Linked DNA regions of Arabidopsis thaliana. The protein of the gene in region 2 interacts with the protein of the main gene of each other region in a pairwise test. Each region holds a gene or a part of one and is shown on either strand. Other genes may lie near its edges. The genes, in order: AT4G00232, MYB65, GRF4 and U2AF35B.

The links.
Region 1: the proteins of MYB65 (region 2) and AT4G00232 interact in a two-hybrid assay, tested with the Arabidopsis thaliana proteins (one large-scale study listed by BioGRID).
Region 3: the proteins of MYB65 (region 2) and GRF4 interact in a two-hybrid assay, tested with the Arabidopsis thaliana proteins (one large-scale study listed by BioGRID).
Region 4: the proteins of MYB65 (region 2) and U2AF35B interact in a two-hybrid assay, tested with the Arabidopsis thaliana proteins (one large-scale study listed by BioGRID).

The regions. Positions count from the first base shown.
Region 1 is NC_003075.7:97,393-104,016, forward strand, and holds AT4G00232 (DNA-binding storekeeper protein-related transcriptional regulator), read right to left. Parts: upstream 3,453-6,624; 5' UTR 3,330-3,452; coding exon 2,865-3,329; downstream 1-2,864. Other genes in the region: MEE50 (ARM repeat superfamily protein), read left to right, coding at 136-715, 811-1,658; AT4G00234 (mechanosensitive ion channel-like protein), read left to right, coding at 3,527-4,044, 4,123-4,396.
Region 2 is NC_003074.8:3,598,568-3,607,446, reverse strand, and holds MYB65 (myb domain protein 65), read right to left. Parts: upstream 5,412-8,879; 5' UTR 5,242-5,411; intron 5,099-5,241; exon of another isoform or gene 4,918-5,098; intron 4,564-4,917; exon of another isoform or gene 4,457-4,563; 5' UTR 4,392-4,456; coding exon 4,020-4,391; intron 3,901-4,019; coding exon 2,892-3,900; coding exon of another isoform or gene 2,866-2,891; exon of another isoform or gene 2,799-2,865; coding exon 2,518-2,798; 3' UTR 2,275-2,517; downstream 1-2,274. Other genes in the region: AT3G11450 (DnaJ and Myb-like DNA-binding domain-containing protein), read left to right, coding at 45-1,988. UniProt on the Arabidopsis thaliana protein: Transcriptional activator of alpha-amylase expression that binds to 5'-CAACTGTC-3' motif in target gene promoter. In vegetative tissues, inhibits growth by reducing cell proliferation. Promotes the expression of aleurone-related genes (e.g.
Region 3 is NC_003074.8:19,612,983-19,621,650, forward strand, and holds GRF4 (growth-regulating factor 4), read right to left. Parts: upstream 5,526-8,668; 5' UTR 5,287-5,525; coding exon 5,055-5,286; intron 4,958-5,054; coding exon 4,763-4,957; intron 4,466-4,762; coding exon 4,168-4,465; intron 3,613-4,167; coding exon 3,195-3,612; 3' UTR 2,995-3,194; downstream 1-2,994. Other genes in the region: AT3G52900 (RAB6-interacting golgin (DUF662)), read left to right, coding at 152-379, 449-559, 628-708, 796-870; AT3G52905 (Polynucleotidyl transferase, ribonuclease H-like superfamily protein), read right to left, coding at 1,160-1,210, 1,304-1,393, 1,488-1,583, 1,676-1,744, 2,159-2,216, 2,341-2,489. UniProt on the Arabidopsis thaliana protein: Transcription activator that plays a role in the regulation of cell expansion in leaf and cotyledons tissues.
Region 4 is NC_003076.8:17,167,237-17,176,014, reverse strand, and holds U2AF35B (Zinc finger C-x8-C-x5-C-x3-H type family protein), read left to right. Parts: upstream 1-3,227; 5' UTR 3,228-3,757; coding exon of another isoform or gene 3,758-4,051; 5' UTR 4,052-4,435; intron 4,436-4,712; 5' UTR 4,713-4,718; coding exon 4,719-5,570; 3' UTR 5,571-5,924; downstream 5,925-8,778. Other genes in the region: AT5G42825 (uncharacterized protein), read right to left, coding at 3,758-4,051; IPK1 (inositol-pentakisphosphate 2-kinase 1), read right to left, coding at 6,678-6,827, 7,046-7,636, 7,727-7,837, 7,920-7,960, 8,041-8,188, 8,273-8,485. UniProt on the Arabidopsis thaliana protein: Necessary for the splicing of pre-mRNA. Probably active at the 3' splice sites.

The DNA.
Region 1 (6,624 bases), on a different chromosome or scaffold from region 2:
AACTTATAGGCCAATAAGCCCATATTAGAATATTTGGGCCTTTGGGCCCATTACACGAAACACTACTTACAGAATAACCTCTACCTCTCTCTCTATCGGAAAAGCCCTAAAGCAAGCTTCTCTCCTTCGTCGTCAATGGAAGCTTCTCTACCGGAAGAGGTGCTTCAGCCGCTTCTACATGCTTCAGATTTATCATACTCTCTAGAAGATTGCTTGAAATTTCTTCTAGAGTCTTCCAAGACCGATTCAGGTCGTTCCGATCTCGCTTCCAAGTCTATACTTCCGTCGATCCTCCGTCTTCTTCAGCTTCTTCCTTACCCATCTTCCCGCCATTATCTGAATCTCTCTCTGAAGGTCCTTCGAAACCTCTGCGCAGGTGAGGTTTCGAATCAGAACTCTTTCGTCGATCATGACGGCTCTGCTATCGTCTCCGACTTGCTTGATTCCGCCATTGCGGATTTCGAGACAGTTAGGTTCGGATTACAGGTTCTAGCGAACGTTGTATTGTTCGGAGAGAAACGTCAGAGAGATGTGTGGCTCCGATTTTACCCGGAGAGGTTCTTATCAATCGCTAAGATTAGGAAACGTGAAACATTTGATCCTCTGTGTATGATTTTGTATACTTGCGTTGATGGAAGCTCAGAGATTGCTTCAGAGCTTTGTAGCTGTCAAGGGCTCACCATCATCGCTGAAACTCTACGGACTTCCTCTTCCGGTAACACTCTTATTCCTGAAGCCAAAAATGCCATTTTGATCTTAAAGTCGTGATTTTTATCTGATTTGAGCCAATCTTGTTATAATTGTTTGTAGTTGGGTCTGTGGAGGATTATTGGCTCAAGTTACTGGTTTCGAGAATCTGTGTTGAAGATGGTTACTTCCTCAAGCTCTTCTCTAAATTATACGAAGATGCTGAAAATGAGATATTTTCATCAGAGCAAGCCTTTCTTGTGAGGATGGTGTCTGATATTGCTAATGAGCGGATAGGAAAAGTGTCAATCCCCAAGGATACAGCTTGTTCGATTCTCGGATTGTTTAGGCAATCAGTTGATGTTTTTGATTTTGTTTCGGGTGAAAGATCGGAGCTTCCAACGGGTTCAACTATAGTAGATGTGATGGGCTACTCTCTGGTGATAATAAGGGATGCTTGTGCTGGAGGACGTCTTGAAGAACTCAAGGAGGACAACAAGGATTCAGGTGATACTGTTGAATTGCTCTTGTCCTCTGGACTAATAGAACTTCTCCTTGATCTGCTTAGTAAACTTGATCCTCCAACAACAATAAAGAAGGCTTTAAACCAGAGTCCTAGTTCTTCTTCTTCTTCATTAAAGCCGTGTCCTTACAGAGGATTCAGGAGAGATATTGTGTCGGTGATTGGGAACTGCGCGTACAGAAGAAAAGAGGTACAAGATGAGATCAGGGAGAGAGATGGGCTCTTTTTAATGCTGCAGCAGTGTGTGACCGATGATGAGAACCCGTTCTTGAGAGAATGGGGCTTGTGGTGTATAAGAAATTTACTGGAAGGGAACCCTGAAAACCAGGAAGTAGTGGCTGAGTTGGAGATTAAAGGCTCTGTGGATGTGCCTCAACTCCGTGAAATTGGTCTCAGGGTTGAAATTGATCCTAAAACAGCCAGGCCAAAGCTTGTCAATGACACCTGAAGCTTCATTTGTCTCAGGGAAAAGAGGAGCTATACAATACACAACAAGAGGTCCTTCTTGAGGCGGTGAAGATCATAAAGAAGCACGGTGTGTCGCTAGGTACCACCTGGGACAATTCTACATTGTGAGTGATCATTTTGTAGAGACAAGGAATACTGATCCGGAAGCTATCTAGCTAGATGGATCCAAAACTCTGTGTTTTTGGGAAATTACAGAAAATCGTGATGACTTCTTAGGTTTCAAGAGAAAAATGTTTCATATTGGCCTTGCTTTTATTTGTTTCCTTCTTGGTATTTATAGGGTTCTAACAATTCCTATATACATGAAATGATCAATTCAATATGTTAAGCAGAAAATGGCTCTCGTTTGATGTGGTTTGCAGTGCATGATCAATTAGTTCAGCTCAACTTTTGTGAAGCCTTTCATGTCTGTTGGTTTGTATTTAAGTTCCTTGTTGTAAACCTTCTAAGCAGTTGTTGTGTTTCACTTTCTCTATAATAGAAAGGCAAGTTCTTCTCTATATTGTTCTGTTGACGATCAAACCAATTGTGATACAAAGTCTGATTCTCTTTCTCTGGTGTTCTGTTTCTAGAAGGAGATTCAGTTTCTAACAAGGTTCACTGCAGTCACAATTTACCGATATGCAGTCTTTTCTCTGTTTTTAGATTGTTATGTTTGTTTGAGCAGAATCATGTTGAAGGTTTTCTCGAGATGTCAGCAAAAACTTACTTTACCACGGCTTGCAGACTTGTACATGAAAGTTGATGATCAAACCAGGACTGATTGATTGATTGATTATACAAATGAAACCAAAAGTTCCGGAAAATACTCTGTGATAAGAATCTTATTGCTCCCTGTTAACATATGGTTCAATATAACTCCAGAAAAAACCAGAGTCGTTGGCATTGAGCATTGTTGTGTGTATTCAGGAATTGTTTGATAGTCTGATTTGCGTAATTTTTCAGTCAACATTGAGAGATCTAACTAGTTTGTTTGATGTTGCAGTACCAAACATGTCTGATTCAGAATGGCAAACACATGTTCTGGAATAGAAACAGATTCCATTTAATAAAAGATAAAACCATTATCTTAACATAGAGGTATCATAAGATAAACCAGAAACATAGATAGAACAAAAGATAACCAAAGTTGCAAGAACAAACTGAAATGAGACGTTAATTTAGCATCTAACTGGATGATGATGCTTCAAAGCTTTATAATCCGCTTACTCTTCCTTGGTTTCTCAAGGGCAGATTCCACATCATAACCCCAAATCATTTTCAACCACTCGGAACTTTTCTGGTATAGAGGTTCCGAAGAAGACGGATCTTTATCGTAAATCCTCTGTTTTTTCTTTAATTTCTTCTTCAAACTCTTCATCTTCTCTATGAAGTCTTCGTCAATAACAGTGCTTATGTATTCATGGACGACGAATTCGTATGCTCCGTTTATATCATCAACAGGATTCTTACCTGTTACAGATTTGAAATCCAACATACCTTGTAGCACAAGGACCTCATCTTTCGAACTCCACTTTAACATTTGAGAATTCTCCTTTTTTGCATCTTTCTTTGATTGTTTGGCACTCACGTTCTTCCGCTTCTTCCCAGTTAGCTTAGCTTCACCGGAACCACCACAAACCTTGGACCGGTTGGTATTGGCTTTGTCCATTATCAGACGGTTCTCTGAGAGAAAAAGAGTTCGTTTTTAGGGAGAAAAAGAGTTCGTTTTTAGGTTTCGGCTGTTTTTAGGGTTCGGCTATAGTTACTATATATCATTAGTACGTTTAACCTAACGTTTTAGTAAACTCTCATGCCAGGGCCTTTACTTGCGGAAACCTTCTTGATGGACCAAAAGCTTCTCCTTCGATGATCTCCTTTTCATCGAATATACGCCTGCATAGTGATGCTAAGCCTTTCAATTACTTAAGCCATTCGTCGTACGCACGAGCTTTCAGCTCCAAATCTGATGATTTCGGAAGTATTGTAGCATCTGGTGTTACTGGGTCTGGTGATGGGAATGGGAATGATTGGGTTGAGAAAGCTAAAGATGTGGTGCAGACTAGTGTCAATGCTGTTGCTGAGACTGCAAAGAAGACTAAAGATGTCTCTGATGAGATGATTCCTCATGTTCAGCAGTTCCTTGACTCTAACCCGTATCTCAAAGATGTTATAGTTCCTGTTAGTCTCACTGTGACTGGTACTTTATTTGCTTGGATAGTGATGCCTAGGATTCTTAGAAGGTTTCACACTTATGCTATGCAAAGTTCCGCTAAACTGCTTCCCGTTGGCTTCTCTAATGAAGACATTCCTTATGAGAAAAGCTTTTGGGGAGCTTTAGAGGATCCTGCTCGTTACTTGGTGACCTTCATTGCTTTTGCACAAATGTGAGTCTCTCTAGCTTTATTCCTTTGACATGTATGTTGTAGAAAATAGATAGACTTGATGAATGTGATATGCTGCAGTGCTGCAATGGTGGCGCCAACAACTATAGCAGCTCAATACTTTTCCCCGACTGTGAAGGGAGCGGTTATTCTCTCAGTTGTGTGGTTCCTGTATCGGTGGAAGACCAATGTGATTACCCGAATGTTGTCGGCTAAGAGTTTTGGTGGGCTTGATAGGGACAAGGTATTGACTTTAGACAAAGTATCATCTGTTGGTCTTTTCGCTATCGGTTTGATGGCTTCTGCTGAAGCATGTGGTGTAGCTGTTCAATCTATCTTGACAGTTGGTGAGTAACCTAGAACTCAACAATGTGAGATATTAGCTTATTATGATTTGAGAGAGAATGACTACTTCTTGTTATATATAGAATTCTTTGTTTTGTGCTTCTATATCTCTCTGCTATATTTGACATTCCTCGCTACAAGTTTAATGCAAGTGTTACAGATTCTTGAGTTTTCTTGAGCAACAAGTAACCTTCAACTTCTTCTTAATGAATTACAGTATGATATAGGTAGTGAGGAAATACCACAAGAAACCTTCATTTTATCTTCTTCTTGATCAGAACCCGTTTTCATGTACGCTAACTACGGTAATTTAGCGAAAGCACTCGACTTTGATCTTTATCTTCAAAACTCCATTCCTGTCCAAGTATGGAGTGAAGAAGAGCTGGCTTGGGGACCCTTGTGCTCCAGTAAAATACCCTTGGAAGGATATTAACTGCAGCTATGTCGATAATGAGTCTCCGAGAATCATTTCTTTGTAAGATCCTCTTCAAATGCTCGTATATGTCTTTGATCTGTATGTCTTGTTCTCACAAGAGTTTGTTGATCTTCAGAAATTTATCCTCGAGTGGCTTGACTGGAGAGATTGATGCAGCGTTCTCAAACCTTACATTGTTACATATTTTGTTCGTATTTTTCGATTTCATATGGAATTCTTTTGTATACAGATTTGTGAAACTGATGCAACCAAAATTTCATTACAGGGGCTTATCAAACAACATTTCAACAGGAAATGTAGATTACATAGACACTGACTTCACTATAACTTGAGGAATTTATATTCATATCACATATATGTCTGCAGAAACTTGGAAGGAAACAAGTTATCGGGTGCTATGTCTGCGTGTCTGCTTCATGTCAAATTCCGGATGAGAAGACAAAAAAGAGTGTGTACATCATTCTATTAGCAGCATCTGTCACGGGAGTGCTTGGTCTTGTAGTAGCAATAGCTTTGTTCTTGCAGTACAAGAAGAGACATCGAAATGGTAAAAACATCAAGAAACGATCCTACATTGCTTCTTCTTTGATTTCTAAGTTTACTTGGAAGAAATATTCTTATGAGATCTTTACAGGTGGTTCTGGTGATGGCGTCAGGACTGGGCCAATGGACACAACTAAGAGATACTACAAATACTCAGAAGTTGTGAAAGTTACAAACAACTTTGAGAGAGTTCTTGGACAAGGAGGTTTTGGAAAAGTATATCATGGTGTCTTAAATGATGACCAAGTAGCTGTCAAGATTCTTTCTGAATCATCGGCTCAAGGGTACGAAGAGTTCAGAGCAGAGGTAACTCTCTTATACACTAAGAGGTTTAGTCTCTATTAAGTGAGTTCTGTAGTAATCGGGATATCCACCAACTTGTGTATGATCAGGTCGAACTTCTCCTGAGAGTTCATCACAAGAACCTAACCGCTCTTATCGGATACTGCCACGAAGGCAAGAAGATGGCGCTTATCTATGAGTTTATGGCTAATGGAACCTTAGGAGATTACTTGTCAGGTCAGTCTATTTGCTACTTTGTTTTGGTCACTGGTCTTTTGCTGCTGTAGACATTGTTTTACAAAATGAAGGTACCATTTGACCGCAAGAATTAAGCGAGAAAAGTGATGTTTAGAGCTTCGGGGTTGTTCTTTTAGAGGTTGTCACAGGCCAACCGGTGATTGCACGTTCAAGAACAACAGCAGAGAACATACACATAACTGAGTCGACTTTAATGCTGTCGACAGGAGATATCAGAGGCATTGTGGATCCAAAGCTAGGGGAGAGGTTTGATGCTGGTTCGGCATGGAAGATCACTGAAGTAGCAATGGCTTGTGCATCTTCTAGTTCTAAGAATAGACCGAGGATGAGTCATGTAGTTGCTGAGCTAAAGGAGAGTGTAAGCAGAGCAAGAGCTCAACAAGTGATATGAAATTGGGACAGTAGTTAGTAGTAACCACAACATGTAAAAATTCAATTGGTATGATAGCTAACAATCTCCCACATTCTGTTGTGTGTTTCTTTGTTTTGTAATAACTCTGGTTACGAGTAGAGAGACATTCATATAAGAAGCACATTTACAAAGTCTTAAAAGTTCATTATAACCATAGACCAAAAGGCTAGTTAGACAACTTAGCTAATTCATTACAACCATCGACCAAAAGGCTTGTTAGACAAAGCTAATTCTCACACGAGAATCCAAAGTCCTAAAAGTTCATTAGAGTAGATAGAAAGATGAAGCCTAAGATAGATAACAAAAT
Region 2 (8,879 bases):
GATATTCACTTGGAGTAAGGTGCAGCTCGTATAAACTGTTCATCATGCCGAGCCGGAGAAGTGAGTCTGCTATTAGGCTAATTACGTACTCTGAGGAGCTTGTGGATGGAAAACCGTTCTTTGCTTTTTCCAATTGTCTTCCTGTGAAGGCTTTAAACCGTGAACCTGCTGGTCATGCCTTCCATTCTGCTGCGCTTAAACTGCATGGTTGTGCAGAAGAACCCACAGACGATGAAGGTGGTGATAAGAAAGTGGGAGATGATAAAGAGAAGGAATATGTTCCTTCATTCAACTCGTATGCCAACAAAGGAAAGAAGAAGTCTGGTACCCAGCAACAAGACCACTATGCGTTGTTGGGTTTGAGCAATCTAAGATATCTTGCGACGGAAGATCAGATTAGGAAAAGTTATCGTGAAGCTGCATTGAAGCATCATCCTGATAAACTCGCTAGTCTCCTTCTGTTAGAGGAAACAGAAGAAGCCAAGGAGGCAAAAAAAGATGAGATTGAATCTCGCTTCAAAGCGATTCAAGAAGCATATGAGGTATTGATGGACCCAACTAGGAGAAGAATTTTTGACTCCACTGATGAGTTTGATGACGAGGTCCCATCGGATTGCTTGCCGCAAGACTTTTTCAAGGTGTTTGGTCCAGCGTTTAAGAGAAATGCTAGGTGGTCAGTGAATCAGCGTATTCCAGATTTGGGAGATGAAAACACACCACTTAAAGATGTTGATAAGTTCTACAACTTTTGGTACGCTTTCAAGAGTTGGAGGGAATTTCCTGATGAAGAGGAGCATGATCTTGAACAAGCAGATTCCCGTGAAGAACGTAGGTGGATGGAAAAGGAGAATGCAAAAAAAACTGTGAAGGCTAGAAAGGAGGAGCATGCTCGAATCAGGACTCTTGTTGACAATGCGTATAGAAAAGACCCGAGAATTGTGAAAAGAAAAGAGGAAGAAAAGGCTGAGAAGCAACAGAAAAAAGATGCAAAAATTCAGGCCAAGAAGAAGCAGGAAGAGGACGCTGCTATTGCTGCTGAAGAAGAGAAAAGGCGAAAAGAAGAAGAAGAAAAGCGAGCAGCAGAATCTGCACAACAACAAAAGAAAACTAAGGAAAGAGAGAAGAAGCTCTTACGCAAAGAACGAAATCGTCTTAGAACTCTCTCAGCTCCTCTCGTGGCTCAGCGTCTGCTTGACATCTCTGAGGAAGATATAGAGAATCTATGCATGTCACTTAACACCGAGCAGTTGCAGAATCTATGTGATAAAATGGGAAACAAAGAAGGACTAGAATTGGCAAAGGTGATCAAAGATGGATGCAACAGTAGTAGAAATGATGAAGCCGAATCTAAAGAAAAAGTAAGTAAGAAGACCAACGGTGGCACAGAGCCTACAACCCGAGTTTCACAGTTAGATAGTAGCACTCAGAAGAAACAACCATGGAGCAAGGAAGAGATTGATATGCTGAGAAAAGGAATGATAAAATATCCAAAGGGGACATCGCGGAGATGGGAAGTTATTTCAGAGTACATTGGTACAGGAAGATCTGTAGAGGAAATTCTGAAAGCAACTAAAACAGTTCTCCTGCAAAAACCAGATTCAGCTAAAGCATTCGATTCTTTCCTCGAGAAGAGGAAACCCTCTGCTTCAATCACATCCCCTCTCTCCACAAGAGAGGAGCTCGGAGAATCTCTACCCACAATGACGACCACAACAAATGCAAAGCCCTCTAAAGAGACTGTTGTGGGGAAAAGCTCGAGCAGTCAAAGCTCAGACAACAATGGTGAAGTAGGTGGAAGTTCAGACGCAGATAGTTGGTCGACTGTGCAAGAAAGAGCTTTGGTTCAAGCTTTAAAGACATTCCCGAAAGAGACAAGCCAAAGATGGGAGAGAGTAGCTGCAGCTGTCCCTGGTAAAACGATGAACCAATGCAAGAAGAAGTTTGCAGAGCTTAAGGAAATCATTAGAAACAAGAAAACCGGAGTATGAGGTAAAATCATTTCGGAGTCCCATGAGAATTTTGGGTTTTAATCCTCTTGGGGCACCGTTACTTTGCGAGAAGCAAGACCTAAAACTTTTTTATTATTTGTAATGATTCATTTCCCTTTGATGTCTCTATATATTGAGAGTGCTGGAGCCACTATTATGGAGTATGTTGTTTTTTACATAATCTTATGTAACGTTTGATTAGCGTCTAGTTTCAAGTTGTGAAATAAAGCGCATCGCTCATGCTGCTGTGTCTCCGGTCCCAATTAGAGGTTGGGCTACAATAAGCCCTAATTTTGATTTGCTTCTTTACAATCTAAACAAAACCAATCGAGCTAGTATGATGGAAGTAGCAGGAACAAGAAATGAGTATATATAAATGCCTTCCAAGTATAAGAAAAATCAGGTGAAGAAAATCCAAATTTTTACCAAGTCCACAAATCTTCTCTCAACTATAACAAACCACCAAGTCATGTAAGCCAGGTGCATGAAAATACAGAAAGATTCAAATTGTGTGATATGGTTCATTTTGTTACAGCGACCAAACAGGAGGCATATTGGTCCATCCATAAGACCCGACGCCTCGTGGTGCTTGACCTGATGATGACCCAACAGTCACGTAACTGTTCCCAATGTCGTCACCACCAAGAAGTGCAAGCGCATCACTCATGCTGCTTGTGTCACTAACAATGCCATAACAGCCTTGGTCAAGCCAGCTCGACGCAAGTAAAACATCAGGCCGTGTTATATCAACTCTCTTTGGTTCCCAAACCTGATCCAACTCTTCTGTCTTTACAACATTCCCTGCAAAAGCTTCATATACGAAAACCAACACAGCTGCATAAGAATCAATATGGAACAAGAGTAGATAAGATACCAATCAACAAGTAACTTTGATCAACTCACCTGATGAAAAACCACCTGCACTAAGTTGCGAGGGACTTGTAATCTCGGAGCGACCCAAATACTTTTGGGAATCTTCATATTCTCCTGATTTGATCAGGTTTTCGCTGCCACGTGGTACATTCTGAGTAACATTGGTCGTGCAAGTAGTTGAACTGAAACTCTTCTGGGGTGATGACATCAACAAACTGTGCTTCGCACTAGTTTTGATCTTGGCCTCATGAAGTAACATATCTAGTAGGCCGGTGTCGCATGAAGAGAAACAATCTGACTCCTCTACCTGCGATGGTGGTGGAGATTGAATATAGGCATCAACAGAGTCAAGGAGATCTGAGTGTGGAGGTGACGGAGTCGTCTTCCACTGATCAAATGCACTAGTTTCTGAATATTGGAATGAAGGGAGCTCCAGCTTCACTGCCCCAAACAAGGGCTTAGAAGTAGGATGCATGCCATACGTAACTGTATGGCTATCAGGAACCATCATCATATGAGACGAATGTTGGTTTTCATAAGGATGATGATCAACATCACAAGGCGAGATACTGCAAGATCTGGGATTCTTCTGTACAGCCGTATTCTGAAAGTGTTCCGGCGATTGGAATTCATGCTTTATGTTACTGCTGCACATGGGAAACCGAGATCCAGATTCCCAGATTTGCTTTGGGGAAGGCAATATTGGTGGCATGTAGCTCTCATACCGGGAAGAACTTGCGCCAGTTCCTAGCATGTTGCATGCAACCAAATCTGATAGGTCAGAAGCGGCAGGTAACAAGCTAGCAGCAAAATTTAGATCGTCAAATAAGACATTATCTTTAGAATTCCCCAACTGCAAGAAATCTTGATGTCTTCTTCTTCTATCTACTCTTATGATATTACTCTTTGTATACTCTTCGCTCCAATGAAGGTCATCAACATAGATTTCAGGAGGGTAAAGTGGTAAGCCTGCTCGTTGTCTCCTCTTGATACGAGTGTTCCAATAATTCTTTATCTCATTATCTGTTCGACCAGGTAACTGGTAAACAAGAAGAAAACATCATACCAGAGATTAATTAGTCTTTAGGCTCACAAAGAATATCAAAATATGAAAATGGACCATGATCAGGTAGCTTCCGCAGTTACAAAACTACTTACATGTTCAGCCATCTGTGCCCATTTATTTCCCATCTTGGCGTGCATTTCAACAATGAGCTGTTCTTCTTCTTGGCTAAATGCTCCTTTCTTCAAGTTTGGCCTCAGATGATTAGCCCATCTCAGACGACAGCTTTTACCACAACGGGCCAGGCTAGTGTGTTTCTGCACAGCATTCCAGTTACCCTCGCCGTGCTTCTTTACATAATCAATTAAAATCCCGTCTTCAGTTGAAGTCCATGGTCCTTTCTTCAGGACACTTCTTTTCCCTCTACTTCTGCAGCCATTGCTAATACTATCAGGAGCTGGTGATTCATTATGGATGCTGGAGTGCATACCATCATCACTATCAGCAGTCGCCGTCGTGTAACTCATCTCTTTCTACTTAAAGCAAGACAGACTCCAGCAGTTCAATAACAATTTAGACATCAAGCTCCAACCTGAACCAATTAAGAGGAAAAAGAGACAAATTAATATTTCAGCCAGCATTCATGTAGTTATCAACAAAATAATGACATGATAAACTTGTAAAAGGAGGCGATAATTGAAAAATATGTCTAGTAGATTCATCATATCTACCGCTGAGATATGAGTTGATACTAGGCAACAACTAAAAGTCTGTAATGAAATTTCTACAGAACACTAGTGACACCATTTTGACGAATAGATTTCGTATTTGAATGAAAATCCAGAAATGGAAACCAGAAACTAGCTAAGCACCATTTTATAGCTCTGATACTTTGAAATGACTTCTGTATCAAATTCGCAATCTCTAAATCTTAGTTCCAATTTCGAATACTAATAAATCGATTTTCAATGAACCAGAAATTACGATTGAACAATCAAAATCCATATATACAAGAATCAAAAAGCAGCAACTAAAGGTACAACAAAGACGAACCCTAGCTGAGGTAAAAGTAAGCTCTATATTGAGTATCTAGCAATCTGAATACAATCAGCAAACCATAGACAAATACGAAGTCGTCGAGATCTACAACATGAGACGAAATCGGAGCTCGAGTTTGAGCTGAAGATATCCGATTTGGTTATCGGAAAACACACAAATCGTAAATTTGAATCGGAAAAACGTTAGCTAAAAATATCAAGCTCAACAACTGATTAGAGAGAATGAAAACAGAGATTGAAGATCAGAGATCCGTGGAAATGGATTCAAGAGCTAGTAACGGAAGAACAATCTAGAAGAAGAAGAAGAAGAAAATATTACCAGGAGTGGGAGAGAGATAACGCGGGAAAAAGCTCGAGAGAAGATATCTCAGAGAATCGACAGAGACAAGGATGGAGAAAGAGATCAAAGTAACAGAGGAAGAAGATTCATCAGAGCTGAACAGAAGTGGAAAAAAGAGATGAATTTAGAAATAAACATCAAAATATTAAAACTCTCCTCACTTAATTAATTATTTTGCTTTTTATTTCCGCGTTATAAATAAATTATAGAATAAAAAAAACACTAAGAATCCAATATCTTTATTAGAAAATCAATTAACTCAAAAAAAATCCCGTATCTTTTTTATCAATTTTAAAATTTTATAAAATTCAAAGATTTTAGGTTTAAAAATAATAATCGTAATATTAATATTTACGAAATGTATCATTTAAAAATAATTATGGATAAAGGTTTGGTATAATCGTATACGTCTTGATAAAAAGGAACCCACCAAACATAAATTGGAATGTTGTACTTTAATTTAATGATGTATAAATGAGCTTATTGACGTAGATACGTTGAGATTACGAGAATCCGCACTCATATTAACTACTGTACTAGTGTCATTCATTCTTTGTCAACTAATAGATTATGACAGTGATTCTCTAGCTAATCAGACGATTGGCTTGAATCTGTTTCATGTCACAGCTTCTTCACTATATAATATACATAGTAAATATTTGTTGTCAGAAGTATATAATGATGAATAATTTGGTTCTTATTAAATTATAAAAAATAAAAATTGGTTCTTTTTTTTTTTTTTTTCCTTGGGCTAAAAGCCTAAAACCCAAAGATTTTTAACTCAAATTGAGGAACTGCTATAGTAGGATCCACATGTGCCCATATTGATTTCGGCATCGAAGAAAAACAAAAAATTGGGCTTTAAAAGTGGATCTTCATCATCCATGAAGGTGGTATATCAATTCATCTACCGACATTTGTATTACAAAATATTATTGAGATAGTAGTAACCAATATGTTAAAATTCAACCATAGCACTGTTTTCCATCTAGTTAACAATTAGCTAAAGCCTTTGAGGAAAGAGGAAGGTGAGCGAGCGCGTGGACCTCGTGATCCTGAATAGCTCACGTATTGTTTGTGGCCTGAATTCTGGTTATGTACATAAATAATGTTGTATGAAGATAAGTACAGGCCTGACGCAAGCCCGACAATACAAGAAAAATGATAAAAGAGAAAGATGATAAAAATGCTAATGTACCATATATATGATCCATTGCACCAAACCCACAAAGATAAAAAGGTGCTTTCGGCTTTTTGGCTTATGTTTTGAGACTCTAGAAATAAATATATTCTACTAATAAGTGTGGTAATGTATTGTTCAACATATATCTTTCAACGCTGCCGAATTTGAATTCGAATTATGTTTATTTATAGTCTTATAGAAACTATTTGATTCAATCAATTAGAATACAAATAATTGGTTTTTAAAAAGAAGTTACATAAAGTATGTGAAGAAAGGGATGGAGGGAATAATAATATAGAAATATGGAAAGCAGTGTAACTTGGTAAACGTACGAGGAACGTAAAGAGATCAGTTCCACTTCTCCGTGTCTCACGCTTGTCTCTTCCCTCTCTACCTTTTCTCTATTTCGTTTCACACCTTTTATTTCATCTTAAAACTTGCTCACTAGTAAAAGAAATTCTGACGATTTTCAGCAAACCATTACTGATGATTAGTGTTTGATCTTTAAATTCGCTGACTAAATAGTTGGAAATTTATTTGACGGTATAACTAAAAATTATCTAACCAAATCAAATATTTAAAATCCACCATATAGAGTAACGAACTTCGACAAACTTAATACATTTCGATGGATTCTTTAGCATGAGTGATCTGGTAATTTGATATCATAGTTGATGGCTTGAACACAAGATAAAACGATTTATACAGTCTTTTGTAGACTAACAAATATCTATATATGGGTACGGTTATGGCAAATGATATGGTTTGAATTGAATATGGATGACAAAATTGGCCTCTATTAGACGTTTGTACTTTGTACTAATGACCTGAGTATCTGAGATCTCAGTTAACGTATTTTTAATTTGTTAATTATATATATTTTATGCACATCATTGGAGAAAACACCAAATAGGCTCTTCTTTATCGCTTCATATATATAAAAGTCTACATCTATCTCTTTCTAGGTCACTAGCTAGACTCTAGATTAAGGATTGAAATTAGGGTTTCATGTTTCCAGCAAAATGGTGCCGTCTTGAGTCTTGAAAAGATCCAAGACAAAACCAAATCACTACATACATCCCTATCATCAACCAGCTACTGTTCGCTGTTGGAGCATCATCAAGATTCACAAATCATCAAGTATTCGTGTAAATAAACCCATTTATGATTAGATTTTTGATGTATGTATGAGAATCTTGATGATGCTGCAGCTGCAATCAGTGGCTTACACATAGAAACAGGTTTGTGTTGATTGGAAATTTCATAGTCCAATCTTTTTGTAGGAATTCACAGATCGGAGGTATTTCTTGGATATAGCTCGAGAACTTTTTGGTATGTTCATTTTCTCTCTATCTTGAATTCTTGTAGATGTTTTGAACCTCTCAAATGATCTTAGCTTTCCGAAAAAAGAATCCAAATTATTTCATATGATCCTAATTTTTTTCTGGTTCATATATAAGTAAGTATCTCTAGATCATACTGATCCATTATTTTAGGATTTTTACTTCTCTCAGCTTTCATCATAATTTTTGTTTTCTGATGACTTCAGTATATATGTTTGAGTAGATTTAACGACTATATGTTATAGTGATGCATTCTTGCTGTGTATTTTGATTCAGATCTACCAACAGATTTTTCACATTGAATTTTATTGTTTATAATTCCATCTTCCCAAAATGCCAATCTCTGACTAGGCTCCAAATGGTAAAATTAGTGGGTATTGCAAGAACTTAATTTTACAGATAATCGTTTGACAATCTGATATATTAAACTTTAACAGAACTATGATTTTGTTTAATTTGGAAGAACATTTGTGTGCCTGTTACTGAAAATGCATACGAGTAAGGTATGTCGATAATGGTTGTGGCCGTTCTTTATATCACACGGATCTCACATTTCTTTCTTTGCAACATCTTGTACACTAAAACCTGCAAAATGAGCTATAACTATAAGGTTCAGTTTACCGCATGTGAAACAGATGGAGCTAATGTATTCGAAGCTATTTTTACCACTTATTTCCATTTAGTGCTTCTGTATTCTGTAACTTAATATATTTTGCTCTGTTAGCTAGGATCCCATATAAAAAGCACGCCAATCATGTCTCCAATGTTCTCCACAGCATTTTCGCCTTATCTTTTATTTGAACTCTTCTCTTTGGCAATCAATTTCTGACATTTGTCATTTGGTAACAAAGTTATTTAAATACCTACTCCTGCAAACCGCTAAAATAGTTAACCGAAATCAAAGATCAATTCCCATTACATAAATACGCTTAGTTGATGTCAGAACTTAAAGATATATTTACCACTCGTAACCCTAAATGTTTTGAAATTAGTAGGATAACACACTCGGACTCGGGACTTTTATTTTTCAGAATACAATTTTACTCCTTACAACAAAAGATATATATATAGGTTTAGGAGAAATAACAAAC
Region 3 (8,668 bases), about 16 Mb from region 2:
TCCTTTTGGCGGGACTGCTTGCTTTGATTTTGGAATGATGTAAAAGCAAAGCAATTATGTTTGGGAAGGTTTAAGCAAAAGCAAAAGACAAGTGAAAGTAAATAAATAGATATTGAGAGAGACATAGAGACTGTTGTAACAAGAAAAAAAAATGAGTAGCAAGAATAACTCCGGAGCTGCTGCAGTTTCTGGAGTCAACACCAACGGTAAGCTACCAATGGAGGACAATGAAGAAGAAGAGATATGGAAAGTTGCAGTGACGAGGTTTCAAGCCCGAGAAGAAGAGATCGAGAGGAAGAAGATGACTGTTAAGGAAAAAGTTCAACAGCGGCTCGGTTTTGCAGAGGAAGCTACAAGATGCTTAACTCAAACATTGGAAGTAAGTTTATAAAAAGCCTTTTGTGTAACATGGTAGACAACAAAGCTAATAATGTTCTTACTAAAACAGGAGCTAGAGATTATGGGAGATCCTATGAGAAAAGAAGTTGGTATGGTGAGGAAGAAAATCGACATGGCGAATCGAGATATCAAATCTTTGGCACAAAGCTGTCAGAAAAAGGTATTACACATTTTCATTTTCAGGAAAAGCTGGCAGCTTTGTTTTAACACAAGAGGATAATTTGACAGGAGAAGGAATACAAAGACACATTGGAAGCTTTCAATGAAAAGAACAAAGAGAAAGCTCACCTTGTTTCCATGTTAATGGAGGTATTTAGTCTAAACCACTTAAAAGCTTTGTAAAATTTCTACTGAAGATCCAATGTGTGATTTGTGACGATGATTTTCTTTTGGCAGCTACTGGCTGAAAGTGAAAGATTAAGGATAAAGAAACTGGAGGAAATCAACAAGACTGTTGGAACCTTGCAATGAGGAGAAGCAATCTACATGGATCTTACCTTAAAAGAGAGTGAAAATTTGTTTAAGTTTTTGGTATTACACTCTATCCAGGTCCTCCTATTAAAAGTGAGCTACGATGTAACAGGATGTACGATAAATGAATGGTGCTAAGGTTTAAAGATATGAATGCAGCGAAAAACGAATTTCTTAAAAGATGCAAGATGTCTTTGTACACATAGATAATGTCAAAACAAATCAAGCATCATTATATTCATATATCCGAAACTAGCGGCTTCCCTATTTTGTCATTACCCGTTTCCTTTTACTCTGCTGGCTCAGTGTTTACATACCTGTTCGCGTAATCTAAATACTCCTGCAAGTAACAAACAATCAAACATAAAAATTATCAAGAAGGAAATACAAGAACAGATTCCATTGGTCTTTAAATGAATATTAGTAACCTTACCTGAAGTATAACTACTGCGGCTAACTTGTCCAACATTGTCTTCTCTTGAACAGGATGCAAATTCAAGGGCTTCAACATCAGTTCAACGGTCTGTTGACAGTATTACATGAGATTCAAGGGATATTAAACTTAACACCTATCTTTACTGTGACTTACAAGATCTTTAAATCTGAAAAATATATACCTTTGATGATAATCGCTCGTCCCAATATGTGTATTTCACATCCTTGAGTTTTTCGGTCTTACGAAGTTCCTCAATGAAAAGATTCACAGTGACAACCTGTTCCAAGTTTAAAAATCCTTTTCGGTTATATGAGCTAATGTAGAGGAAAAGTACTTCACAATTCAGTCGAAACAAAAAAAAAAACTTACATCCTCTACATTGTTCAGTTTGCCAAATGGATAACCAACGACTAATCCCGACACAGAAAATGCTTTGACCTGCATAAGACAACAAAAGGCAAATGATTGATGTAATCAAACAGAGTTCATAAGTCTACTTGTTGATAGATCTCTACTACGTCAAGGACTTAACAGTAAACACTAACTGAATAAACCTTGATCCTTTAATCACCAGTAAGGCAGTAATCACAAAAAGCCGAGGGTGAAAGTAGACACTAATCTACTACACTAACAAACTTTCTTCTTCATTACCAAAACAAACGATAGTTTCTTCATTCCTTATCTTAGTAAACACTAATCTACACTAGCAACCTTTTTTCTTTGTTTTAAAAAACACTAAGAAATGATAGTTTCTCCATTTCTTAACAAGAACTAAAATCTGTGTATTTGTTTAAGGTCTCCTTTAAATCTAGAGCTAAAAAGTAAAGGAACGATCAAACTTATAGCACCTACCAGGTTCTGGAAATCTGTAGCCATCAGGTCAATGTTTGATTTCTTTCTGAGCAAAACACTGCAAGAGAAGTAACAGGTTTTCAATAGCGATGATGGTGACAAAATTGATCAGAGAGGATTTGCATTTTTGAAAATTACTGTTAAACAAATGTTGTAGCATGTAGACACTGAATCAAAGGTACCTCAATGGAGAAGCAACCATATTTGAAGGATCTGAGATAGCTAATCCAACATACTTATCACCAACATCTAAACCCAGAAACCGACCAGGGACTGACACTTTGGTCTTCAGCGCATTACCCAATAAGCTCAATGGCTTCACATACTTCATTTCCTGATCAAAAGTAAGTGAATCAAACTTCCAAAACACTTGTTCAAATCAAGACTAAAAATTCACATATCAATTGCATAAATTTGAGAATTATTGTACAAAAAAAACTTTAATCAGACCATCAAACAAACATTTCGAAAAAGGGTTTTAGAAATTAATCAGAAAGTTTAAATCTTGACGTACTTTAAAGGCGGAAACTTTCTGGCTCCGGAGCACGGAATCTGGCGAGAGGAAACGACAAATGGTTCTGCTAAATGTCTTCGCGATTGAAGCAAGCAAGCACAAACCCCAAGATTGTGAATTAGAGATGGACCGGAAAAGGTTTATTCCGGTTAAGTTCGAGACTTCACCGTCTAATCAATCTATACGATGCCGGTGATTATCAGGGTTTTGGTTTTACATTATACCGGGAACCGGTTAATTCGAGGTGGTTTAACTGGTTTCCCAAAATTGATTCGGTTTAGCTTAAGTGAAAAGCTCAAGTAACCACCTCTCCTGTACTTACTTGCAGGCAGAGGATCATATTAGTTTCATTGCTTATACAAAATTGTCAAGCTTTAAACATAAATATAATAGCAGAGTAAGGAACAAAACAATTCCAAAAGCAGAACTCACAATTCCAAAAGAAGACAAATTCAAAGATTATTTTCTGCAGAAAATAAAGATTCAAAGAGCACAAACCAAAAAGATTACAAACACTTTTCTTTAATGAAAAACTTGAGTAGAGATTCCCATCTGATGAAGAACACTTGACGTCGAAGAAGCTGACCTCAAAGCCTCAGCTAATGGTCCTCCCATATTGTTGTGGTGATTCCCTCCATTGCTCCACCAATTCATTTGCTCCCTCTCATTGTTGTTATTTCTCATGTTCTCTTCTTCTTCTTCATTGCCTGTGGAAAGTTTTAGAGAAACATCTGAGGACGTGTTGTTACCGGGCATGGAGATTGAAAGATGACAAGTGGATGAGCTCATTGGACTGGAGGTAGAGTCTGATGATCGTGGCCAATCGTCAAAGAAATGCCTCAAGATGTGACCATCGTCTGATCTTCCATTGCTGAATCCACTGTTAGCTTCATATGGCCTCTTGTTGTTGTTGCTTTCTTGTTTCATCTCTGAAGAACAACTGTGACAGAGAGGAATAAACATAAACATAAACATTGTCAACAAAAAGATCCAACATTTGAACAATAATAAGTAGACTGATCAATTCAACAAAATGGTTAGAGAAATAATTTAATCAGTCAAATGTGTGTGTTAATAAGAGGAAGTGGTTGCAGAATCTGAGAGCTTTATTTTGTTTGGCTTCTATGCAGGTTTGGTCAGCTTTCACTGAGGTCCTACCATGTCATTATTTCAAATACAACATAAGTATACATATCTCTTTAACTTTCTCTCTCTTTTCTATTTCTATGATTGAAAAGTCTCACCCAACTAGTAAATAAAATTAGATTCTATCAAATCCAACTGTTATCATTATCTCTCAACAAAAGAAAGAATAATGTTTTTATCACAAAGTATGTATGATAAGTCTCTCTTGTCACCCTATTGCCAACATTACCCCTTTCTTCACAGCATTACTTCACAGTGAAATCACTATTTCCCTAACAACAATATTTGTAATTAACCAAATCTACTAATGACTTTAATTAAACAGAGTGTTTGTGTTTTTTTATTGTACCTTTGTTGATGACTAAGGTGGAGAGGTTGAGATGAACCAGAGGAGAAGAAGTGGTTGTTGTTTGGTCCATGACCAAGCTCCTCACCTAAGACAAAAGAAGATGCGGTTGTTGTGGCTGTCGTTGTGATGGTGGTTGTGGCGGTTTCCACAGGCTTTCTTGAACGGTTTCTTCCACGGTGAATGTGGCGGTCACAATACTTGTGGCCCGCTACAACATCCCTTGAACATCTCCATTTCTTGCCGTCAGTTCTCTTACACCTCCCTGGCTCAGGATCCATTGCTCCTCTTCCCCAATACCCTGTTTTTTATTAAGTGTGTGTTGTTCATTAGTAACAACAAACATAAATCTCACTCAAGACATTGGTTACGAAATGTACTTGTCTGATTCTATCTATGTTGCTAATAGATCTTCTAGAAATAGGCTTATCATACACATAGGGTTTTAACTCCTTGCAAGGTTGCAGAGCAGCCTTATACTTATTTTAGATCTTGGAAATATAACTCCAACACCAAAACAAAGGGAATCTTTTTTACAAAGAAAGACTATTTCAAGGATAAGAGAAGCATAAACAATAGAGAGGAGAGAGAGACTGACAAGAAGGTTGGTGATGAGGAAAACTATGTTGAAGAGGATGGTGAAGGAAATGCATAGGAGATTGATGGAGGAGACTTTTCTTAATAGGTAAGAGAAGCTCTTGAGGAACAGAAGCACCAGCCAACATGTATCTATAGATCAGTGCTTGTAGCTCAAGTTCTTGCCACTGTGCCCAGCTGAAGAAGTTTCCCATCTCTACATATATATGTAACATAGAAACGTCAGATTAAATATCAGCAAAAACAACTTCAACATTAGAGTGAATAAGTCTTGTCCTTTTAAAACAACTTACTGAGGAACCTGGAAGAAGAAGAAGAATTAGAAGAGTCAGGAGAGAAGCAAGAGAAAGAAGAGGAAGAAGTGGGTTCAGGGACAAAGAGAGGAAGAGGAGCCGCAGCAGCAGAAGTAGCAGTTTGGGACTGAATCTGATCAAAGAAAAAGTTTGATATCTTAGTTGCAGCAGAGCCTTGTTCTTCTGACTCATTCTGCTGCTGACTTCTCCATTGTTTCAGTTGCAAGTCCATGGAACAAAGAGAGAGTGAGTGAGAGAGAGAGAAAGAGAGACAGACAGAGAAATGTGTTGGTTGCTTTTGGGATAGTTTTTTTACCCTCACTTCTTTTGTTTTTAGAGAGTCTGGCTTAATAAGCAAAGACAACCACAACAAAAGTCTTATTTGTTTGGCTTGTCATGTAAATACCCAAAATAAAAAACTTTTTCTTCTTCACTCTTTTGTTAGAGAGAGCTAGAGAAAAGTGTTTAGACTATGAGACAAGACAGTTGATAGGATAAACAAAATTAGTATATAATATTTGATTGATAGGTTTAATAAATTGTTACTTTATGTGATATAAAAATTATGTAAGTCAGAAAACAAAGAGAGAAAGCACTGCAAGATGCAGATGGAGAGATAGTAACCTGCAGTGTTTATGTCTCACTGCCTTGGAAATATCACTTCCTTTTTTTACCTCATTTTAATATTCCTTAAGTAGGTTAAAGAGATGCCTATTATGATATTGTTATTATGTTTTTTTATTAAGGATTCATTTAATGTGATGTAGAGTAACCTTCAATTTTTGTCTTACAGATGTCATTTGTCTCAGAGATTGTGTTACAAATGTATGAGATTCTAACTTCTAAGCATGATTAATCATTTGGGTTTTGACTAAATAGTCTCCATTTGCAGAGAGCTACAATACAATCTCAGCTCTATTTACTCTCTTTGGTTAGTAAGTTTTCCAAATACTTTACCATTTTAGTGGTTTAACCATATTTGTCTTTTAATTTGTAACCGTCATTACTTTTCTCATCTGTTACAATATTATTGTTACTCATAAAATATTATGTAACGTCTGTGTTTGTTTGATTTATTAAAAAAAAATTATAACTTCCTTATATAAATGTAGAAATGGACATTTATCTTTGTGTTATCTTAAAAAGACATGGCTAGCTAGTAGTATATGTACATATCTAAACACATCGAAAGGAGGGAATCATATTATTACCAGAAAAGGCCAAGTAAACTTGGAAACATTTGTTAAAATGAAGTTAGAAACATTTATTTGATATCTTCACTTGGCTGAATAATACAAAAGACATTTATGATTTTCAAAGTATCTTTATTTGGTGGTGCCAAAACAAAAAACGATAGCATTATTTTGTAGTTTTGAGGAAATAAAGTAATAAATATGAGAAGGACGATAACGATATTTCATGTAGGAGTGAGCCACAACCAAAGACTATGATGACTATTGAGAGAGTTTCTTGAGTTTTCTTTTCATTCATTCCCACCAGTTTCGGCGGCATTTATATTTGCACTAAGAAAAATATAAGAAAAACTCAATTCCTTAAGTACAGTTCAATGTTATGTACACTTCATTTGCTGTAAATCTTGTGAACCAAATAAAAAAGAAGAGGAATATCATAACATAACACCCAAAATAAACTTTGTTTTCAAAATATACCATAGGTTCTTTTTGACTTTGTAAAATTTTCCTTTTTGAAAAACAAAAATCTTTGTAACAAGTATAAAGCGGCAACTGAATTTAATAAACATTTTACGTTTTTTTTTTTAGAATAGAAAAAATATTTCGCAAATGGCCTAAACAAAATATTAGCCTCTAAAATAGAAATATTTTTTGTTGATACTTGATAGTATAATGGATCTTGTGCACTAATGATGGGTCTTAACTAATAAAGTAATAATGGATCCTGTGCACTAATATTTTGGGCCAGAACTTGTCATATACCAAAGATAATGATATCGAAGGAAAACAAACTGAAAGCAAAGTGTGAACGTAATGACATATTGTATGTCTTTTTTCAATCATGAACACGAACAAAGATTACATGCAGATGCAGTAATACTAATGGTAACAAAACAACCAAACAAATGTTGATTATCTAGACTAACTTTATATATATCTTGTTTAAACTTTAACCTACATGGTTATTAGGTTATACATGGTAAATGCATTAGTTTAAATTACCATACTACATACATTTTTATATGTTGCTCATGTTCCAATTGTTTCGTAAAACCAAATAAAATGACAGAAAATATATAGTATTATTCAGTGGACAAGGGTTGGGTCACGTGCTAAGATTAAGACCAGATGAGATCAGAAGAGGGCCCGGCCCAAACTCTCCACCTACTCACATAGATTTGAAAATCACGGGAGCTGATCCGAACCGAGCCGAGCTGGAGTAAAGATGGAGCCGGACAACGAAATCATAATCTGAGGAGGCTCTCTCTTTAGTTTCCGACGAGGGCACAGACTGTGGGTCTCACTATGTAATGTGAGATACCAAATATATTCTTTTCACTTTTTGACCAAAAGTTACCGTCTGTTTACGCACTATGCCATTTACGTTCACTTACGATGGGCCGTAAATAAAAAGCCTAGTCACGCTAGCACGCGAGGCCTCACGTGCCTTAATTATTTTCTTAATGGGCTTCGTATATTCCTTTAGGAATGATTCTTATGGGCTTCTTAAACTCTACGTTTAGCAGTACACCAACAAAAACCGAAATAAGCAAACCTCTTAGCAGACCTCTAATTTCTTAATGTGCTTATTATATTCAATTTGGAATGATTCTTGTGGCCTTCTTTAACTCTATGTTTAACACCAACAAAAATGTTGTAAGACTTGATGTATAATTTGACCAATATTTTAGTTTCAACATTATTTTGATTCTCCTAGTCAGTTGATATTCGATTATAAGCAGAGAAGACACATGATCTAAAGTCTAAACCAAAAAAAGTCAAGTTAATTAGAAGATGATAATAAAACCTTCATTTTGACCCACTCTTTATTGTAAACATGCTACAATATATGTTATTGAAACCATTAGTCATATCGATTGACAAAATACAACATATGCAATACTATACAAGAAATAACATAAATGTGACGGCAAACGTAGAATAAATTAATTTGAAGAACATGAGAGTCGTTACCATTCCTCGAGGATCTGCTTTTAGGCCCACTGTTGGATTGACCCTACCATGAGATATCTCGACGATTCTCAATCCAAGCCGTACATTTGTATGAGTGTTACGACGAATTTATGTTTGGTCCCCTATCGCCACCGGTTCTTCTCTGTAGCACTAACGATCAATCATCATGCCTTTTGTTTTAGGTAATCATCTATATGCTTTTATTTGGAAATCATTTTTGTTATGTTATTCTATTTTAATTCAGTACTCAATATGAAAATTTCCAATCTGTAAAGTTGTTTTTTATTGACCTCGCTCACAATATATCCATGAATACTTTGTATTGAGAATTCATTTTGTCATATGAATATGGATATACTCACTGCAACTCTATCTGTAACAATGTGAAAACAGGTGTAAATAAAGGAATTTCCATAGTTAGAATAGATTGAGATAGTATATTTTAGC
Region 4 (8,778 bases), on a different chromosome or scaffold from region 2:
TGAATGGAATAGTAAAATGATTGAATAGACGGAACACAATAGCTGAATACGTTTCCACAAATAATCACACATATATACTCAGAGATTAAACTTAGTAAATTTCTGATTTTTTTACGATTTTATTTTAATACAATTTTTTTTAATATTCGTCGTTTACCACTTTCGAGAAATAAACATTTGATCATGTCTAAAAGGTAAAAATATAAAATACTTTCACATTTCAACACGTTAAAACATGCCAAAGTAATATATTTCTCTATTATAATCGGCATTAGTATTACTGTATTAGGTATCAAAAATTTAAATCAAATGAACAACTAGGATGATGTCAAAATTTGAACTAAACATAAGCAACGTAGATGCTCAATAGTTAGGATATAATATGTTTTTCCGAATCTGGTTGGTGTAGTGAGATCAGAATTTGTAGCTTTGAAAAAGTTGAAAAAGGATAAATTATTCATGTGCTCTTTGAATGTCTCTCAGCACTTCGAATTTGGAGATTTCCAAATTCTTTGAACTTGAATTAGTTTCCTACACGATCAATTTGTAAAATAAAATAGATTTTCTCTTTTAGCAAAGTCAAAATCAAAACTTTTCGGATAATTTGATTTACGGGAAAAATATTGAAAAAATCGCTAATTTTTAAATTTGGGACGAAAAAAACATGAACTTTCGAAATGTTATTTAAATCATATTTTTTTTATTCTTTGATAAAATGGTCAAGTTTTATTGACTGGGCCAATTCGGACATGCCGTGAAATTTTCGTAAACAGAGTTAACGTTCCGTTAGAATTTTCTGTTAAACCCTACAATTTTCCTCAACGTGGGTAACATTTGAGCAAAAGACTATTTAGGAGGAGCAAAAGCTACAAAATCTATTAACAAACGCGTATGCGTAGCTAACTTTGTGTCGGGATCAGTAAGACGACGACCACCACGCACCTTTCGTTTCGCTTGGATTAGCAAAATGTCTAATGAGACATATAGAGATTCCACTTTTGAGCAAGGCAACTTCACGAACGCAACAAACTCCCCTTTCGCTATTCTAGTCTTACAAACCATCACATCTATTACTCCCTTGTAAAAAGAGCTCATATATTTTGACCCACGATAAATTTCTTAAAAAAAAGGATGGAATTCACTGAAATAATTATTTTTAAGATATCTTAGTTCACACGATATAAAATTAATTTAAACTAAACTCACTTACATCTTTAGCAAGTGTTGTATACTCTGGGCGGAACAAGTGCAGTTTTGCGGCCACATGTATAATTTTTAGGAATACCAATGCCTGAAGAAAAAGTCAGACGTTTCACAACTCCTACCACGTCAAAATGTCTAACATTATTAGGTGCTTCGTAGCCAGGTTCGACATTCTACACAATCAAGTGAAGCCACGGCTTAGGACATTATAGTAGAGGAGCATATTTTTATAAAAAAGTTTTAAGACTTTTATGTTATAAAAAAAATCAATTATAAGCATTTTTCTATATATTTATATTTGTTAAACTTTTCATTTACTATCTTTTTTTCATCTTTTTAAATTAATAAAATGTCTTATTAATGAATTTAGTTTAGTAAAATTTTAGATTTAAGAAAAATAAAACCTTAAACTCTAAAATTTTGATTACAAAAAAAAAGTCAAAGACTTTCTAATGTAAGGTGCTTGAACTTTGATTACAAAATAAAAACTTTGTTTTTATTAATCAAATAAATGAGTTGGCTTTGCTATCCATTAAGACAATTATGTTTGAAAAACTCGATTACGTGAATTTGATGAATGGTTTTGGAGGTAAAAATCTAAATAGAGGTATATTTAAAAAATATAATTTTGTTTTTTTTTCCTATTTTTTTGCTTACAAAATGCTTATAAAGTTCAAAAAAAAAAATCTATAAAGTTTTAGTATAACTTTTATATACTATTAATTTTTTGATTATGCAAAAAACAAATAAAGGGCATAAATGTTTTATATCTGTAGGGCATTCCTACAAATATTAAAAGTTTTAGTATAACTTTTAATATATATATATTATTGTTTTTCAAATTAATTCTTACTAGTCAAAGTTAATGGGATTGTTAGAAATTATTCACGTAAACAAACAAATATATATTTATATATATATGTATATATACTATTATTATTCAAATTAATTCTTACTAGTCAAAGTTAATGGGATTGTTAGAAATTATTCATGTAAACAAAGAAATATATAAAATTTTCTTCTATTTAAAAAAGCAAAAAAATTGACTCTTGAATTTTGGTATAGTACTGGTTTAGCTAAGGATGTACTAAAATTTATTATTGAAGTTGATCGATGAAGATGACAACACCGTACTATATATATACACATACTAAGAGGGAGAAAATAAAACACTTAGTTAAGTATACATCGAGGAAAATGACTTTCAAAATTAAGAAGAATGGTTTAATGGTGCAATTGCGTATTAGTTCTCATATGATTTAATTTTTAAATATCTATTTTCACTTTTCGTATAAATTTTACTTATTCTAATAATATCTCTTAAATTTATAAGATCTTGTGTGACCGTTTTTTGGTATGTGTCACTAGTTACATTATTGAATTTAAGGGTTCGATAAAAACTTATGGAATGATCGGGTAAATATATTTAACCACGGATACTTATTTGATTTTACATCTAGGTTTTTTAATGTTAAAAGTAGATTGATCACCTAAATTTAAGTCTAGGGATATGTACGAAACAAAAATGTTTAACAACATACTCGTAAGAACCTTAAATGAGCAATACTTTCTTTACCAATGAAAGCTGCTGTTAGAGGGCATCCTGAACATGTGGAGGTTAAAATTAATGACTCTCTAACTATTTTGTTCAAACAGAATTTCATAGATTTTCCATTTTTTATTTTACTCATTTTGTAAATAACCTCATTTTACCATTGATCAAATAAATTTAACATTTCATATAAAAAAAAACCTCATTTGAAAATTGTATTTAAGTATTCAATTATTTGGAGATTGTATTCAAGTATTTAATTTGACAAATATAATTTGGTTAAATATTTCAAGTATTCTAAAAACATTCAGATATTTCAGTTATTTCAGATAGTTTGGTTATTTTGAGTGTAAACATAACTAATATCTTTAAATTATAAATTATAAATTTGGCTATCTTGATTATTTGAAATATAATTAAGAATAACATTTTAGATATATAATTGTATTTCAGATAAGTCTGACATTCACTAGATTTTTAATTTATTTTTAATTTTATTCCCATATTTTTTTTTTTTCTTCTCATAAGTGTATTATATTAACCACCAAAAGAGGAAACAAAGCATTAAAGCTTACAACGATATGTGCAGAAAGAAAAGTTAGGCCCAACATAGCCCATAAGATTAACATCTACGGCATAAAGATGTTTTGACATTTGGACTCTATCCAATACACGTGTCCACGTGATATTACAACTGCAACACAAGATGAAGAGTCATCGGAAGTGTACCGACATCAACCTTCGCCGCCGATGAACACCGAATCCGGTGAGGAATGCATCGCCGAAACATCGCACAATGAATCCTTGTAACCACCGAAATAAAACTGAACGGTGCTCCATTTAAAAGACACAGCAAAAAGGAATCATAATAAGCATCGGAATATTCTTCAATCTTTCAACCCGAAGACATAATCGCTTGATAGATTTCTGCAAATCGAAGTTTCTAAAGACACAAGACAGAAATTAATCTTAAGTAACTAGCACCTAAAACTAATTACCATCTCAAATCTGTTGAGATTTATTGAAAAACAAAACTAAAATATCAAAGCAATCAGCATAAAACTGATTGACTACGAGCAAGGATACAAGCGGCCAAAACCTCTTATGAAAGCAGGATTTGCCGTACGGGAACCGGTCATCTCCACTAAAAGAGCTAGAAGATACCGGGCAAAAGCCCAAATTATTTGGAACGGCTATCATCGGAAAATTCTTGTAGGTGGAGACAAAAAGCTTTCCCTCTCTGAAGGTTTTGTGAGAGAGAAGAGAGAGAGAAGCTTTAGCTCTTTTTATTCCCATATTTTTTTAAAAAAATCATTCAGATATTAATTATCTAGTTCTGTTCGTTTCCTTCCAATCCAGTTCAGTTTAGTTTGGTTTATTCGGTTCTGAGCCGGAGCAACAAAAGGATCAATCTTAAAATCCTCGTTATGTTATGACGATTTTGACGAGGACCAATATTGTAACTTTCTATAGTTTATTTTATTATTCCTCCTTGTAGAATAGTTTATTTGCAAAATAAACCCATATTAATATCTCTTTCTCTTTTTTTCACCACACTCTCTCTCTCTCTCCGGCTCACACGAGTCGCTAATCAAATAAACCTAAACCCTAGATCGTGATCGGCAACGGCACCTCCTCGTCGGCGATAGCTTCTCTTCCACTAAAAGAAAATCCTCTTCGGTATTCTTCTTCCTCTAATCAATCTCTCTCTCCGTTTCGGATTCTCATCTCCACTCGATGACTAGAAACGTCTCGATCTGTTTTAGATTTGACAACGATTCATGATTCTGATTCGTTCATTGATTTGATTCTCTTTGATTTTGTGTTAACTCTCGTTTATAAGCTTAGATTTGGTTCTCGTCTCTGATTCTGAATCGTTCTTGTAGTGATTTGATTTATCATATAAGCGTAGAAGAACAATTTGTGTTTAGTTGAATTTGATTTTTGTTATGTTTAGGTGAGAATGGCAGAGCATTTAGCTTCAATCTTTGGTACTGAAAAGGATAGAGTGAATTGTCCGTTTTACTTTAAGATTGGTGCTTGTCGTCACGGTGACCGGTGCTCACGGCTTCATAACCGTCCCACCATCTCGCCGACGCTTCTCCTCTCGAACATGTACCAGAGACCTGACATGATAACTCCAGGTGTGGATCCTCAGGGACAGCCGTTAGACCCGAGTAAGATCCAAGACCACTTTGAGGATTTCTACGAAGATATTTTCGAAGAACTCAACAAGTTTGGTGAAGTGGAGAGTCTCAATGTTTGTGACAATCTTGCTGATCATATGATTGGGAATGTGTATGTTCTGTTTAAGGAGGAGGATCACGCAGCTGCTGCGTTGCAGGCTTTGCAGGGGAGATTTTATTCCGGTCGTCCTATCATTGCTGATTTCTCTCCTGTGACGGATTTTAGGGAAGCTACTTGTAGGCAGTATGAAGAAAACAGCTGTAACCGTGGTGGGTACTGTAATTTCATGCATGTGAAGCAGATTTCGAGGGAGCTTAGGAGGAAATTGTTTGGGAGGTATCGTCGTTCATACCGTCGGGGAAGCAGAAGTCGAAGCAGGAGTATAAGCCCTCGACGTAAGAGAGAGCATTCGCGAGAGCGAGAGAGAGGGGACGTTAGGGACCGTGACCGGCATGGAAATGGGAAAAGGAGCAGTGATAGATCAGAGAGGCATGATCGGGATGGTGGTGGAAGGAGGAGACATGGAAGCCCGAAACGGAGCAGAAGCCCACGAAATGTGAGAGAAGGAAGCGAGGAAAGGAGGGCGAGAATTGAGCAATGGAACCGAGAACGTGATGAGGGAGTTTAAGGGTATCGTTTGGGCTGATTACTTCATAAAAATCGGTAAAATCTTGTAATGGATATTCATTTGGTGTTCTTTTTTTGAACTTGAAAAATGAGTGGCATGAACTCCTTAGATGATGTAAGGTGTTTACTGTATTTTGTAGAATTTTTGTTTAGAAACTAGTTCGTGAGGCAAATGATGGGTTCAGTTTTTCTAAGTTAATGTGGTAATGATCCCTTGGTTATTGTTCTTTATGATTGTCCCTTGCAATGTCTTCTTATAAGGTTTAAACACTTTGTATTGTTCGGGGAAAGAGATAAATGTTGTACGATTTTTTTGGGTGGATTGAATGAAGAAACCGAACCCAACCCAAATATTAACCCAAATATTATAAATACCCGAATGGGTGCTATGAGCCTAAACCCAAAAAACCCGAAGCGTATCGGAGCGTGTATTCGAATGCCAAGCCCTAGTCAGTTTTATTATTGTTAGTGTCCACTTTTCATGTTTAATGGATTTTGTTCTCGATAACTCAAAAAGTTATTATTTACAAGTGTGGTATCAGAGCATGGTTCATGATGCTACGGGAAACCATTTTCAATGTTTTATTAAGTAAATGTGTCGCAAAAGATGTTAGGAATTGGTTCAATCACTTGCTAAAACTTAAGTAGATGGGATTATATGACTTATCCTTTTTGTTGTGTTGTAGTATGCCGCCAAAGAGATCTCATGGTTGTGATTCAGTGGGAGAGGAGGGACGGTCCATGGGTCTGCCACCCCAAAGATACTATCTTTTGTGAGAGAGTGGGGAGACAGTATATCGGAAAACCGCTGACAAAATTTTCCATAGAAGGAGCAACAACAGTGGCTAAGCTCCACCATCTTTGTATGTACAAGCAATTCTGGCAAAACTTGACAGAGAGCATTCTGGAACAGTAAAATATCTCCAGGCAACGGCTCCATGCCGAGAGAAGACCAGGGAGAGAAAGAGATATAGAGTGAAGGAGATATAGTTCCAACAAATTTTAAGTTTAAGAAATGAACATTCATCTTTTAGGGCTTTCTTTATTATGTTCTACAACAACAGTAACCAAAAAAAAGAGAGCTAGTGGTATTGAGACGATACATGACTTAGCTGTGGGAAGGTTTTGAGTTGCCGATTTGTTCTGCCGTGTTTTCGGCTTTCTGCTTCCGATTGTAAAAGCTAATTATCTTCTTATCCAATTTGTAGTATGACTCCATTCTCTTAAGTGGTTTCAGGCTTAGATCAATGAAATGTACCTACAGTTACATAAATCAAATATCAAACAAATATAACAAAATGAAGAAACCGATTATATGGTTCCTGAGAACTCAACGTTTTCTAAGGAAATTTCTGTTCTTATAATGATTCGCGGATCCCACATTTTATTTTTAGAGAATTGTACCAATGATCTCAGCAAATATTATTAATAGTTCTTTCACCATATAAGACAAGAATGTGTTAAAATGGATCATACCTTGTAATCAAACGTTTGATTGGTCGGTTTTAGAGAGACGTAATCACCCGAGGGTTCTGAATCCCAAGCATTCCTTGATTGAAAACTGATCATAATACTACAGTCTTTGGCAGTTGCAGCTATCAAATACTCCTTCACAATCTTCAAGCTTTCATCTAAAGGTAAAGCATGTAGAGACAATTCCGCCTCCAGTGGCTTACCTTCTTTACATATAGGACAAGGCTGGTTGATTAAATCGTAATACGAATGAATCGCTCCTTCAATGTCTAATTTGTCTAGCTTCTGAATTTCAAGAAGTCTATCAAGAACTCCTGAGCCATAGACAGCGTCAGATACTAGTTGTAGAAAGCACTCTGTCCTATGACCGTCTTCTGATTGAATGAAGCCTTTGAGAGCATCCTCAAAGGCATACCCGATTTCGGGGCTGGTTCTCCCGGTGCTTTCACCTGAACCCCCTAATATGAGAGAACCATTCAAGAATACGCGGAAATTGTTTTGAGGAGTGGAATATAAAGCTTTTATAGCTTCCAAAACACTCTCTTTTGATCCAGAGAAGAGATCAAGAGGATCGTACTCGCTTTCTTCAGATATCTGTAGAATGGTGACATACTTATTAGACATTTCAGCAAATCACAATCTATAGACCATTAAGATTTTATACTAACAATGACTTGCTTTTACCTCGTTATATTCCAACTTTAAGAGTTGATGCATTTTGAAACGGCTTACGCTTGTTTTGAGCATGTTTTCTTTACCTATGAACCTTGAGGTTGGAAGAAATCCGCATTTGGGCTACTTCATGGAATTAAGGACAGTGAGTTTAGGTCAAGCATGATAAAGAGAAAACTAAAACAACCCAGAGGATTTATCAAACCTTTATTTCAACACTAATGCAATCACCACCGCTAGAAATACCTGACACAGATAACACCATATAGTTACGACTAATTTTTATGATCATGAAAAAAGTCCGATTTCTTATAATAATAGGTTACCTTGAGAAAAAAGTGAATGATCATTCAATATAAGGGCAGAATCATGACTCGTATCAACATTTGCTGCATTAACACGCCATAGCGGACGCTGCTTAGTTACTTTCTTATCAACACACTCAAGAAACTCCTTGGACACAGAAACACGTACCTACAATACTCTAATCATCAGCTTACCAAGAAGCCATAAGTATCTAAATAAAACCAACAAAGACCATTTGATAATATTACTTACTCCAGCATCAACATGTTTAGGACCCAAGAGTGGGATGATCACATTCTTAACATATCTTTGTTCAAGAACTTCCTTGTTTGGTGATGAAATCAGCTCATTGTTTTCTCTCCATAGATGTTGCTCATCGCTTGTTAAAACCGAAACAACACCATTCGCATTCTTGATTGCTTTATCATTCCTCCGAGCCTTCTGTATACGAATCACTTTCCCAACCTAATCAAAGTTCAGAGATAATGTAAAAGATTGGTCAAACTTAAACAAACCAAATCCAATTCTGTACAAAACATTTTACTGTTGAACATTGTGTTAACTCTTTAGACACTAATCAATCTGAGAAGATAAGAATTATACCAACACTGATTCTGATTCTGATTCTTCATAGAAGAAGAGAGCCACTAAAAAAGAATCTATATCCAAGTTTCTAACTAGAGAATCTAAACCAAACTTTTATAAAGCTAAAAAGTCAATGACGGCGAGAATCTGAACTACTTTTTTTCAAAGTTCAT